2 linked regions of the Schizosaccharomyces pombe genome follow. The gene in region 1 interacts genetically with each later gene. Each region holds a gene or a part of one and is shown on either strand. Other genes may lie near its edges.

Region 1 (8,436 bases):
ATGATTCAGCAGCTATATGTGAGTTTGCCCTTTTTCACTTGTCTACAGAGTCGGGAATTGACTTGTAAAACAAAATAAATGGAATATTGCAAATGTATTCTTTTTGCCTTGTGTTTATTTAGGAGTAGTATTGCGGAAACTTGTTTTCAGAAAACAAAGTAGCGCTTATGCTCGGTAACTACGAAAATACGAATTTTTTTTCCAATAAACTAGTATTTATTAAGCAATTGCATCTTCCATTAACCATGTCATTTCCATCAATGTATAGTTGTATGTACACCATGTATTTACGAATATTATCCAATTTAACGTACTTTACAGTATTTTGCTTATAAATGTTTACCGTACCAACTCAGCGTTCTTCATAATCCAGTTCTATATGCACTACAAATATAAAGCAGCCACTGTTAATTTCAGGACTCATTCTTTAAGCTTGGATCGACAAGTAGTTTCTCCTGAGATTCTCACTGTAAAGTAGCTCACTTAAACCTTAGGTCAGAATTATTTCTTGGTTCGTTTTGTTTTACCCTCTTCCATCCCATGTTTATTTATTTATCTTTGTGAACTTATTCATATTTGTGTATCAGTGATTGACGACTAAATATTGAACCAAAGCAGAACCTACCTCATTCTTATAATACCCATAAAAATTTATTTCTCGCTTTATTCATTTCATTTTTATGAAGCGATTGTTAAGCGATCTTTACCCACTATTATTCATCAATGCTAGTTCATAATTCTTTTGTTTCAACTTTTTATCTTATTATTTAATTCCTAAATTTTTTTTTGGTCCAATAGGCTGTCATATACTCAAATTAATTTCCTCAAAGTCAACGGATTACACCCATAATGAAGTTCTATATTGACGATCTACCTATTCTGTTTCCTTATCCACGCATCTATCCCGAGCAGTATCAGTATATGTGTGATTTGAAACATTCTTTGGATGCGGGAGGCATTGCGCTCTTAGAAATGCCTTCGGGTACTGGAAAGACCATTTCTCTTTTGTCCCTTATTGTTTCATATCAACAACATTATCCTGAGCATCGCAAGCTCATCTATTGTTCACGTACCATGTCGGAAATTGATAAAGCATTAGCTGAATTGAAGCGTTTAATGGCGTATCGGACTTCACAGTTAGGATATGAAGAACCATTTTTGGGTCTCGGACTAACCAGTCGCAAAAATTTATGTTTACACCCTTCTGTTCGTCGTGAAAAAAATGGGAATGTGGTAGATGCCCGTTGTCGCTCACTTACGGCGGGTTTTGTGCGGGAGCAAAGATTGGCTGGTATGGATGTTCCTACTTGTGAGTTCCACGACAATTTGGAAGATCTTGAGCCACACAGCCTTATATCTAACGGTGTTTGGACCCTTGATGATATCACAGAATACGGCGAAAAAACTACACGATGCCCCTATTTTACTGTACGTCGTATGCTACCGTTTTGTAATGTTATTATTTATTCGTATCATTATTTACTAGACCCCAAAATTGCTGAACGAGTTTCTCGAGAACTCAGTAAAGATTGCATTGTTGTTTTTGATGAAGCACACAATATTGACAATGTGTGTATTGAGTCTTTAAGTATTGATTTGACAGAATCTTCTTTGAGAAAAGCTTCGAAGAGCATTTTGTCTCTTGAGCAAAAAGTCAACGAAGTAAAACAGTCTGACTCAAAAAAACTTCAGGATGAATACCAAAAGCTTGTTCGGGGCCTTCAAGATGCTAATGCCGCAAATGACGAAGACCAGTTTATGGCGAATCCCGTTTTGCCTGAGGATGTTTTAAAGGAAGCTGTTCCTGGAAATATTCGACGAGCCGAACATTTTATTGCATTTTTGAAGCGTTTTGTAGAATATTTAAAAACAAGGATGAAAGTTTTGCACGTTATTGCTGAAACACCAACTTCTTTTTTGCAACATGTTAAAGACATTACATTTATAGACAAAAAGCCGCTTCGGTTTTGCGCTGAGCGACTCACTAGTCTTGTTCGTGCCTTACAAATTTCACTAGTTGAAGATTTTCATTCTTTGCAGCAAGTAGTAGCTTTTGCGACCCTTGTTGCTACTTATGAGCGTGGATTTATCCTAATTTTGGAACCCTTTGAAACAGAAAATGCTACAGTTCCCAATCCAATATTGCGGTTTTCCTGTCTTGACGCCTCAATAGCTATTAAACCAGTTTTCGAAAGATTTAGGTCTGTGATTATCACGAGTGGTACTTTATCCCCCCTCGATATGTACCCCAAGATGTTGCAGTTTAATACTGTTATGCAGGAATCGTATGGAATGTCACTTGCACGAAACTGTTTCCTTCCTATGGTAGTTACTCGGGGTAGCGATCAAGTAGCTATTTCTTCAAAATTTGAAGCCCGTAATGATCCTAGTGTTGTTCGCAATTACGGTAATATACTGGTTGAGTTTTCGAAAATTACACCTGATGGCTTAGTCGCATTTTTTCCAAGTTATCTCTACCTTGAAAGTATTGTTTCTAGTTGGCAAAGTATGGGTATTCTAGATGAAGTCTGGAAGTATAAGTTGATTTTGGTGGAAACACCAGATCCTCATGAAACAACTCTCGCCTTAGAGACTTACCGGGCTGCTTGCAGCAATGGCCGTGGAGCAGTATTGCTGTCAGTCGCTAGAGGAAAAGTCTCAGAAGGAGTGGATTTTGATCATCATTATGGTAGAGCAGTAATCATGTTTGGTATTCCGTATCAGTATACTGAGAGTCGTGTTTTAAAAGCACGGTTAGAATTTCTGAGGGATACGTATCAAATTCGGGAAGCAGATTTCTTAACATTTGATGCCATGCGGCATGCTGCCCAATGTTTAGGTCGCGTTTTGCGTGGAAAAGATGATCATGGAATTATGGTGTTAGCAGATAAACGATATGGTCGGTCTGATAAGCGTACAAAATTACCTAAATGGATTCAACAGTATATAACCGAAGGCGCTACAAATTTAAGCACTGATATGTCCCTCGCTTTGGCGAAAAAATTTTTACGAACTATGGCACAGCCTTTCACTGCGTCTGATCAGGAAGGGATTTCTTGGTGGAGTCTTGATGATTTGTTGATTCATCAGAAGAAAGCATTGAAGTCTGCGGCTATAGAACAATCCAAACATGAGGATGAGATGGATATTGATGTGGTTGAAACTTAATAGAAGCCATTTGTAAAATACTTTGATTCTAATCATCTTTACTAAGGCAATCCAAAACTCATGAACACAGCGATGAAGATATTTGGAAGCGAATGGCTAACTTTTTTGTAGGTGTGGACAATGTATGTATCAACTTGTATTCGAGAGTTGTATAGTGGACATTTCAATCGTCATCACGATACGCATGCTACTTACGAATTGTTTTAAGATCGCAGAGCAGAGAAAAAATATTATTTACACTCAGTTGGCAATTAATTTGCGAGTCGCTAAATTCGAAGTACTTTAAAATTTTTTTAGAGACTGTGTTCAAATAAAATCGGTTTCAGTTGTTGTAATGCTTCTTAAATTTTCCATCCCATCAATAACAATCCAGCGTTTCAAAGAGTGATTATTGGCAATTTCATGCTGCTATGGAAATTAAGCTTACATTAAGCGAGCTAGTTAAAATACGTGATGCAGTAATTGTAAGCCTAGTTATATAAACAAAACATCTGTTTATCATTTAGATACATAAAACAAAAGTTTACATATTCATAATATATTCTCATAATCTAAAAAATTTCCTTGATAGTTTTATGTCGATAAAATTAGTCTCCCATACTTAGTTCTAAATAAATGAACGTTTTGGGGTTGTACAACTGATTCATTGCTGTATTCTATGTAATATATAAATTTCTTGAAAATAAAAAATCTTTTGGTTTTACGGATTCACGGTTGGCTTATACGTAATTGCCAAGCACATATAAGATCAATGATGGTTTCTTTACCAAACTACTGTATAAAAAAATTACTCTAGCACAAAAAGGATACCGCTTTCAGGAATTCTTAAATATAGAAAAAAAAATAAGTGTAGCTTATTGCAAGGGTTGTCTCTAGTCACGTTGGGGTAGTCAGAATCCTGTCATAACTACTGCTTTGTATCTTTGATTAGCAAAGTAACTTATTGAATACAGTCAGCTGTCAAATTACAGAAAAAGAAGCAACTTTAATAGTATCTTAAATGATATAATCTTCGATACAGGTTTCTTTGAGAATTTGGCCAATAGCTAGAAATGTTTAAACGACGTCGAAATCCAAAAGGTCTTGTGTTGAATCCTAACGCCTCTGTTAAAAGCTCTGATAATGATCATAAGGAAGAGTTAATTAACAATCAAAAAAGCTTTGAATCCAATGTCGAAGCATTTATGGAGCAATGTGCGCATATGAATCGACGCCCAGCTTGGATATCTGATTTGGACAATAGCAGTTTGGAAGTAGTGAGGCATTTGGGAGAGGGAAATGGTGGGGCTGTTTCATTGGTAAAGCATAGAAATATTTTTATGGCTAGGAAAACAGTTTATGTTGGGTCAGACTCTAAACTTCAGAAGCAGATTTTGCGAGAGTTAGGTGTTCTACACCACTGTCGTTCACCCTACATAGTCGGTTTTTATGGAGCTTTTCAGTATAAAAACAACATTTCATTATGTATGGAATACATGGATTGCGGATCGCTTGATGCAATTCTTCGGGAGGGAGGTCCTATTCCGTTAGATATTCTAGGAAAAATTATAAATTCTATGGTGAAGGGTCTCATTTATTTATACAACGTTTTACATATCATTCACAGGGATTTAAAGCCTAGCAACGTTGTCGTCAACTCTCGTGGTGAAATAAAGTTATGCGATTTTGGAGTTTCAGGTGAACTAGTTAACTCGGTTGCTCAAACGTTTGTGGGGACTTCAACTTATATGTCTCCTGAACGAATTAGAGGTGGAAAATATACAGTCAAAAGTGATATTTGGTCTCTAGGAATCAGCATTATTGAACTTGCCACCCAAGAATTACCTTGGTCGTTTTCGAATATCGATGATTCAATAGGGATCCTAGATTTGCTTCATTGTATTGTTCAAGAAGAACCACCTAGACTTCCATCTTCGTTTCCTGAAGACCTCAGACTTTTCGTTGATGCCTGTTTACATAAAGACCCTACACTTCGCGCCTCTCCACAACAACTCTGTGCGATGCCATATTTTCAACAGGCTCTTATGATTAATGTTGACCTTGCTTCTTGGGCCTCCAACTTTAGATCCTCGTAAATGTGCAAAGGACGCAATGGATACATAAATTATGTTAGACCTTTAAACATCTTGTCGTCAAAAAGAAGGATTTCAGAAAAATCTTTTTAAATTAAACTTTGTCATGAAATGGATATTTTTGGTTCTAACCACACCTCTTCAATTATAGTGGTACAACACAATGTGGAGAACAATGAGATTTTGTCGTTGACGAATATTTCCGCTTTTTTCTTAATACAAAGCATTATTAGATCGGCCATAAATAGGTATCATATTTTGTTTATCAATTTTTTACTTCATTAAAGTGCTATGTAAATGCCCTCTTTTTTTGGTTATTCCATTATTAATTATCATTACGACTGTGTTCAAATGTAATTCTCGGTACACTGAATTGCTTTCGATTTAAGTCAATGAATGTTTTTTTTAACTACTTGAGTTACAGCGTCCACAATAGTCTGAGTTAAGTTTTACCCAAGCAAGTTAATCAGAGTCCTGCATGTCAAATCGCACAACTTCTAATAAACCAGATGATAAAAAATTAAAGCTTAAAGCCCGTAGTTTGCAAATATTACAATTAATACATAAACCATTCAGATGTAAAATTTAACGAAGTAAGCAATTATTATTTACTTGCCAGCTATGCAGTTTGGTATCTGTGTTAACGATACGTAGACTCCAAAGAGTTTTCCTTGTGACCTATTATATTGCAATATACAGGTAATATTTGTAGCTACAGGTTGTATGTATTATACTATCTAGATTATATTGTTACCTATCATTAATTTAGCTATTAACTGAACTGAGGAATGAGGATCAACAGTAGCTCTATTTACAGTATTCAAAATAATATAAATTTTTAAGAGATTATTATTAAGATCACCTAAATATCGTAACGTACGTGTACGATGAATAATTAGGACATGTGACATATAGTGATAATCAACGTAAGTATTATAGCGTAGCGTAATATTACTAACGGCGAACTGCGTAGCTAGTATGCTATTTCTGATTCGAAAAACCACTGTAATAAGTAGCGAAGTACTTTAAGTTTTCATTTCACTTTAACACCAAGCTTTCTGGGTTTTTACTTGTTTGCAAGACGCAGCAAAAGATTTATCAGTGATTAGTGCTGTAGATTGAATTTAGTTAGCCTTGTCACTTGTTAACATTAAAAAATTTTGTTGCAATCCGTTTCACTACGATTGTAATTTTTAACAAGTGTTCATGACTTCGTTGCCAGAAAAGGATCAGCAAGGCGAAGTTAGTGTTTCAGGTAAGAAGTTCGAGGTAATACCGATTAATTTTTTATTAACAGAATATAATTTTAGAAAATCAAAAGAAGCTCTCAGAGGAATGGGAGCCTTATATTGATAAACTTGTTGCATCTAATAGAACGCGTGACGAACGTGTTGAATCAATCCAAGAATTGTTTCAAAAATGTGTCATTGAAGAGAAGTTACCAGTAGACATATTTTTCTCTATTTTTTCCTTAGCTTTTGAAAGATTGGAGGAAAAAAATACCTTAGCTTCTTATGTAATTGATACGCTTTGGTTATTTGACACAGAGTGGATCAAAAACTTTCACGAAGGAAGTCATGATAAAGCTGAAAAGAGGCTTGTTTCAATTGGAAAAGGACTAAAGGAATTCCTTCCAGAGGAATGGTTGCTTTCTCGCTTGGATTGCAAATTTTTGGAAAATATTAATGTCGTTCCTAATGGCGATTTTCTAAATCGGAAAATTGTGCGGACAAATACTTCGCTACTCTACCGCCAAAAAAAATTTAATTTGCTTAGAGAAGAAAGTGAAGGATTTTCACATTTAATGATAAACTTTTTTGATGCTTTAACTTGTCTTCGCAATAAATCCTTAAACGAAGATTATCTGATCGTTCAAGTAAATAAGTCAATTATCAGTACTATTGGTGCTTTTGATTTAGATCCGAACAAAGTACTGGATTTGATTTTGTTGCTTTTTTCTGAAAATTTACTTGATTCGTGGCGCTTTTTCCTTTCTATCTTGAGAAACAGCCCATGGGGTCCGAATAAAGAGCGGAAATTTTGGAATCAGTTACCTGATCGCGAAAAGGAAACATTTTTAAATAATCTGTCTAATGCTAATGGTATTTTTAATTTTGACGAGCGATTCACCAATACAAAGAGCATAATGTCTCAAGTTTTGGGTCATAATTTGCAATATATGTATAAAGAAGATGACGAGAATTTGGAATCTTACTTTATGATGGTTGCTTTGTTGATTAAATATAATTTTATTAGCATTGATAACATATGGGCTCATCTTTCTCCATCAGATGAAGAGCTTGGTAAAGAGTTGGGTAAATATAAGGATAAATTAGATGAACAGACTTTTAAGGCTAAAGGAAATGCTTTAACAATGGCGGCCCCATTGCCCGACGATGAAATTGAAGACGGAGAAACCATGGATGGCCAGAAAGCTGAAGCTGTTCCTGAAATAAAAAAAGCCAAACCTTCACAGAAGCTGGGTCTACTAAAATCTTTATTGTCCATCGGGGATTTATCTTCATCTCTATTAATCTTGGGTCGTTATCCATTTTTGTTGAGGGCGTACCCCGAATTATCTAACTTGTATCACAAACTTTTGCATATTTCTATTTCCTCAATTTATGCAAATTACAGTCCATTGAAATTGTTACCAAATGATGTAAGGGAACGACTTAAACAGCCAAAGTTCATTCCTGAAGACTCTAGGCTTCGAGAAATTACCCTGAGGCCTCCAAAGGAAAAAAATTTAGTGTTTTCGTTGGATCCTTTTGCTGATCGATTCAACAAAACTGAAAGTGAGGTGTTTTATTACTTTGAAAATTATGATGAAGATATACCAATTTTACGTAACTTGACAGAGTTCTACAACATAGCTATCCCATGGTTACGTTTGTCAGGGCTTGCTCTGTGTCATGATCCTGTTATAGTGACAAAGCTTTGCCGCATTGGTCAAAAATGTGTCGATAATAGCTCTGAGAGTCGGACATTATGGCTGGATATTATTAGATCGCTTCTTCTTCCTCTCATCACACTTATTGATGTCAATACTGGACTTTCCTATGAATTATTTGAGTTGCTGTCAAAGTTTGATTCATCCACTCGATATGCGTTGTATGGTGAATGGTCAAGTACCTCCATGAAAAAGTTTCCGGAGCTAAAGCTACAAAATTCTATCACTGAAAAGGAAACAAAA
Region 2 (4,272 bases), 720 kb from region 1:
CATGACATCATAAATGGCTATGTAAGTACCAGCACTAAAATGCGTACCATAGAAAACAACCACAATAAGTTATCTGTAACATGATGTAACGTGGTGAGCTTATAGCATATGACGAAGAACAGCACAGTGCATAAAAAACAATAACTTTGTCAGTTAGATGTTTATTTTCGAAATAACGATACTTTCTACTACGGTTTGATTATATATAGTAATAAAATCAGTCATAGCCCAAAAATGAGTATAAAACAAAGATTCAATTTAATTCTGTTTCAAGTAGCTTAAGCAATGTCTCAGTTATAATTAAGCTATAGGAAGGTCAACTATTTTTGCTTCACTATATTTTGTATTCTGAAGAACATATTGATGTGTAGGATCGATAGCGTAGCCCAGTCAAGCAATCGAGAACTGTAAACCTATGTTGACTGTGCAGTCGGAAATATGTGAAAGACGCATGGTTCTAAGGTTGATATTTTTTTATTTTTACTGTTAAAGTTGATTCTTGTATGGTTGATATCCACCAGAAATATACAAGTTCTTAATTCAGTCAATTCTGATCATTGCAAATTCCACTGAGAACTTCTGAAATGCAAGCTTGGTCGTACTGGTAAAGAAATAGGACTTAATATTAACTCATGTGAAATTTAAAATATTCAGTACGATACATTATAAGTGATGAAGCAAAAAACTATTGCTATTATTCAAAACCTTTAAAATTCGTATAGCAAAACTTATAGCCGAATATTGTTACGATTTAAGCATTAAATTACGAGGTCATATTGTACAAAATAACTGCATGAAACGACTATTTATTCATCCAAAATTCCTAATATAACCAATCCGAAAAAGTTTATTTGTCCAGTGTCTTTGAAGTATTTGTAAAACAAACAAACAAACAAAATTAATCCATTTTACTCCGAAGCGGCCGAAGGCTTCTCTTCAGAAGCGTTAGATGACCTTTGCTTCTTAAATTTTCTTCCTCTGTTACTATATTTACCAGGACGCTGACGATCCATCTCTTTAAAAGCGTCAAAACGTCTGCGTTTGCTGCTAAACTTTGGTGGATCGTTTTTATGTAATTCAGCTTTCATGTCAACATACTCCTTTTTGCTCATTATAGTGAGCTCGTCCTCGCCCCATTTCAAAGGTGCAGTTTTGACTTTCTCAAGAAATTTATTAGCAACATCGGGTTCCTTGAATTCAACAAATACGCTTCCCTTAAATTTTTTATCGTCATCCCTTCTCATACGGACAGCACTAATGGGACCAGCATTTTCTTCAAAGAATTTTTCCAAAGCAATTTGAGTGTCATCTTTTTCATCACCGAAACCTTTGCAGTAGACACTTCTTTCCATGACGCTCTTGTTGTCTACACGAACTAGAGGAATCATACGACGTACTTTTTCGCCAGCTTCATCGACTTCAAGAAGTTCAGGACTCTTGCGAAGAGCATTTACAATGGCTTCCAAAGGCTGAAAACGACGCATACGTTTGAAATTAGCAATTGTTTGAATGGGAACCCATCCATCATTTTTTTGAGAAGTAGTCCATAAAAATTTATCATGGGGTAAGTTGGTGTCCGAAAAATAAAATTCTATTCATACTGTTAGTAACGACCACTCAACACAAAAAAGGTTTTAATCCAACGTAAACAAAGTGTGTAACATACCAACTTGCTTTAAAACTTCAGCTTCATCAAAAGATAAATCTTTTTTTCCATCATCTTCCTTCTTTTCAGTAGTTTCCTCCTTTTTTTCTTCACTAGTAGTATCTTTTTGACTTTCTACTACTTTTCCAGCTTCCTCGGCCTTGGGAACCTCTGAAGAATTCTCCTGCTTAGATGAGATGTCCTTAATTTCTTCCTTCTGTTCTTCAGTTGACATGATGTTAATTATTCGTAGAGAGACAGGCAAAGGGCAAATTTCATAAGAAGTTGGATTCCTCTCCTAGAAGCATTTCTAACCCTACCCTATTATCGAACTGACATTATTTTCCTACTCATGAAGACAATGTTAAAAGTTGGCACTTAAAAAAGAAGTAGTTTATTCATAATAGATTTATAATAGATAGAATAATCCCATGAATTTCCATTGTTTTTTTTTTTGAAAAGATTAACAGAGATTGCTCCTTACAATGTAGCTCTGGATACAATTTAACCATAATGACAAGCAGTAGCTTTTAGTTTTCCTATTTATGATTCTTTACCGACAATTGCAATATAACCTATAATATCAAGATTCCCCATTCGAATTATCATTTAATATCCACTTTATTGTAGAACCGCTAACTATTAAAACCGATGTAAGACATTAATACTTTAAACTTACTCCATTTGTTGGAGTCATTATATGTTCGTTACGAGATCACTATCAAATGCTTTAATTGAATAATTTCAATTTCATATTGTTGAAGGATTTTAAATAGTAAACGGAGCGCCTCGAAAATTTTAAATTTCCTTTATAACTGACATAGGTGTAAGATTAACAATTTCTTTCTCCATGTTCATAACGTCTTCTTCAGGATTAGATGCATTATCGGAGGGTGGAGATTGTGGTTGATTATTTTCGTCAGATGTAGTCGATGGTTTCTCATTAGTTTCGGCGTCTTCCTCTTCAGACTCCCCTACCATATCTTGATAAATTTCGGGGTGTTTTTGAAAACAAGCCTGCATAGCTTGAAATTTGTCAAGACATTCCATACCTTTTGGTTCACTCTTGGAATAAACGAAGCAACTAAAAGCTGCTTTGAATTCTTCTCCACATGGACCATGAGCCATACCTCCAAGACAGGGACAATCCCAGTTAATCTCTCCAGTATCCGGATTAAATGCTGACTCCTCGCTGCTCTCCTCCTCCACTTCCTCAAATTTCCTAGCATATTCATCATCATCTTTACCAGTGGCTATTTGTTCTCGAAGTATATTTCCAGCTGTCTCCCCGCTGGATTTTTCCTTATCAGTTTTCTTCGGTGCACTATTCTCAGTAGCGCTGACCTTGCGGCCTTTCTCGTCAGTCGAAGGTTGTGTTTCACTTGTCATTTTCTTCTCAATGGCATCTTCAATTCGGTGTCGCTGCATATATGGTTCATTATACGCTATATTGTTAGTTAAATTCATATAATCGTACAGAAAAAGATAGCCATTTCAAACATATGATACTTACATTGTGTTTCCGTATGGACATGTTCGCCTACAACAGGATGGTCATTATCTTGACTCGATGATGCATTTGAAGTGTTTTTTCCAAGTAAATATCCAGCAGTCAAAGAAGCAGCTGCAACGCCAGATACAATAGGCAAAAAACGGCCTTTCCATACATCAGTTTTGGTTGCAGTACCAAATTTTCGACAAATGCCTGCTTGAAATCCATTTCTCTGCAGTAGAGACCTTCTCATATTATTGTAACCGTTAATCCTTATACATTTTGGAAATCTGAAAAGTAAGTTTTTAGCAAACATGGTTTTTTTGATTTATGGGAAGTTGAGCTCTGAACTTCTAATGTCTGCGTAATGGTCAGAAAGCGGCGACGATCTTACAAGAACGTAACTTTGTCATTCATTCTAAGTTTATATAAGTTTGCATGTTTTTTAAATCAGATTTAAGTAAATAGGTATTCACAAATGTAAGACAAGCAAGACTGGCAGGATTTACGAGATTACTAAGAAATGCCTGAATGACTAATTTCATAATAGAATTAAACTAGCGACATAATAGTTTCACAAGCAAACTTAGGTATGCAAAACAAAAGGTAATTCATTTATAATATTTAATTAGAAGAACGTGAGTATTATTTTCTATAATATGTTAAATTTTTACTATAATAATGTACCAGTAAACGACACTGAATTTTTTCTTTAAAAGAAATATACTGACATCCCAATCTATTCTTCCTTGCCAATTATGTCAACCCAACGTTTGCCCTTAAGCTCGGCAAGAATCTCTTGCTTAATCTTGTGAGCAATTACAGGACCATCATATCCCAAAGCAGTATAAACTTGAACCATAGTTGCACCAGCACGAGCATACTCAATAGCATCTTTGCCAGAAGAAATACCACCACAGCCGATGATGGGAATATCGGAAGAAAGATGCTTACGAAGTGTGCGAAGAGTATTTAATGCGATAGGTTTGAGAGGAGGTCCAGAAAGACCACCCGTCTCTTCAACATGGCTAGTTGATTTGAGGGTCTTAGGGCGTTGAACGGTAGTATTACCAACGATCACACCGTCAATCTTGCACTTTTTGAGGACATCGGCAATGTCCGTGAGTTCTTCTTC

What was found.
Region 2: of byr1 (region 1) and sla1, changing one suppresses a phenotype caused by changing the other (phenotypic suppression), as found in Schizosaccharomyces pombe (one study listed by BioGRID).

Annotation. Positions count from the first base shown.
Region 1 is NC_003424.3:663,933-672,368, forward strand, and holds byr1 (MAP kinase kinase Byr1), read left to right. Parts: upstream 1-4,071; 5' UTR 4,072-4,220; coding exon 4,221-5,243; 3' UTR 5,244-5,810; downstream 5,811-8,436. Other genes in the region: transcription factor TFIIH complex subunit Rad15 , read left to right, coding at 850-3,168; THO complex subunit Tho2, read left to right, coding at 6,447-6,495, 6,551-8,436.
Region 2 is NC_003424.3:1,381,634-1,385,905, forward strand, and holds sla1 (La-motif domain-containing protein), read right to left. Parts: upstream 1,916-4,272; 5' UTR 1,881-1,915; coding exon 1,667-1,880; exon of another isoform or gene 1,592-1,666; coding exon 909-1,591; 3' UTR 775-908; downstream 1-774. Other genes in the region: disulfide relay system thiol oxidase subunit Mia40, read right to left, coding at 2,444-3,090, 3,159-3,453; mitochondrial dihydroorotate dehydrogenase Ura3, read right to left, coding at 3,877-4,272.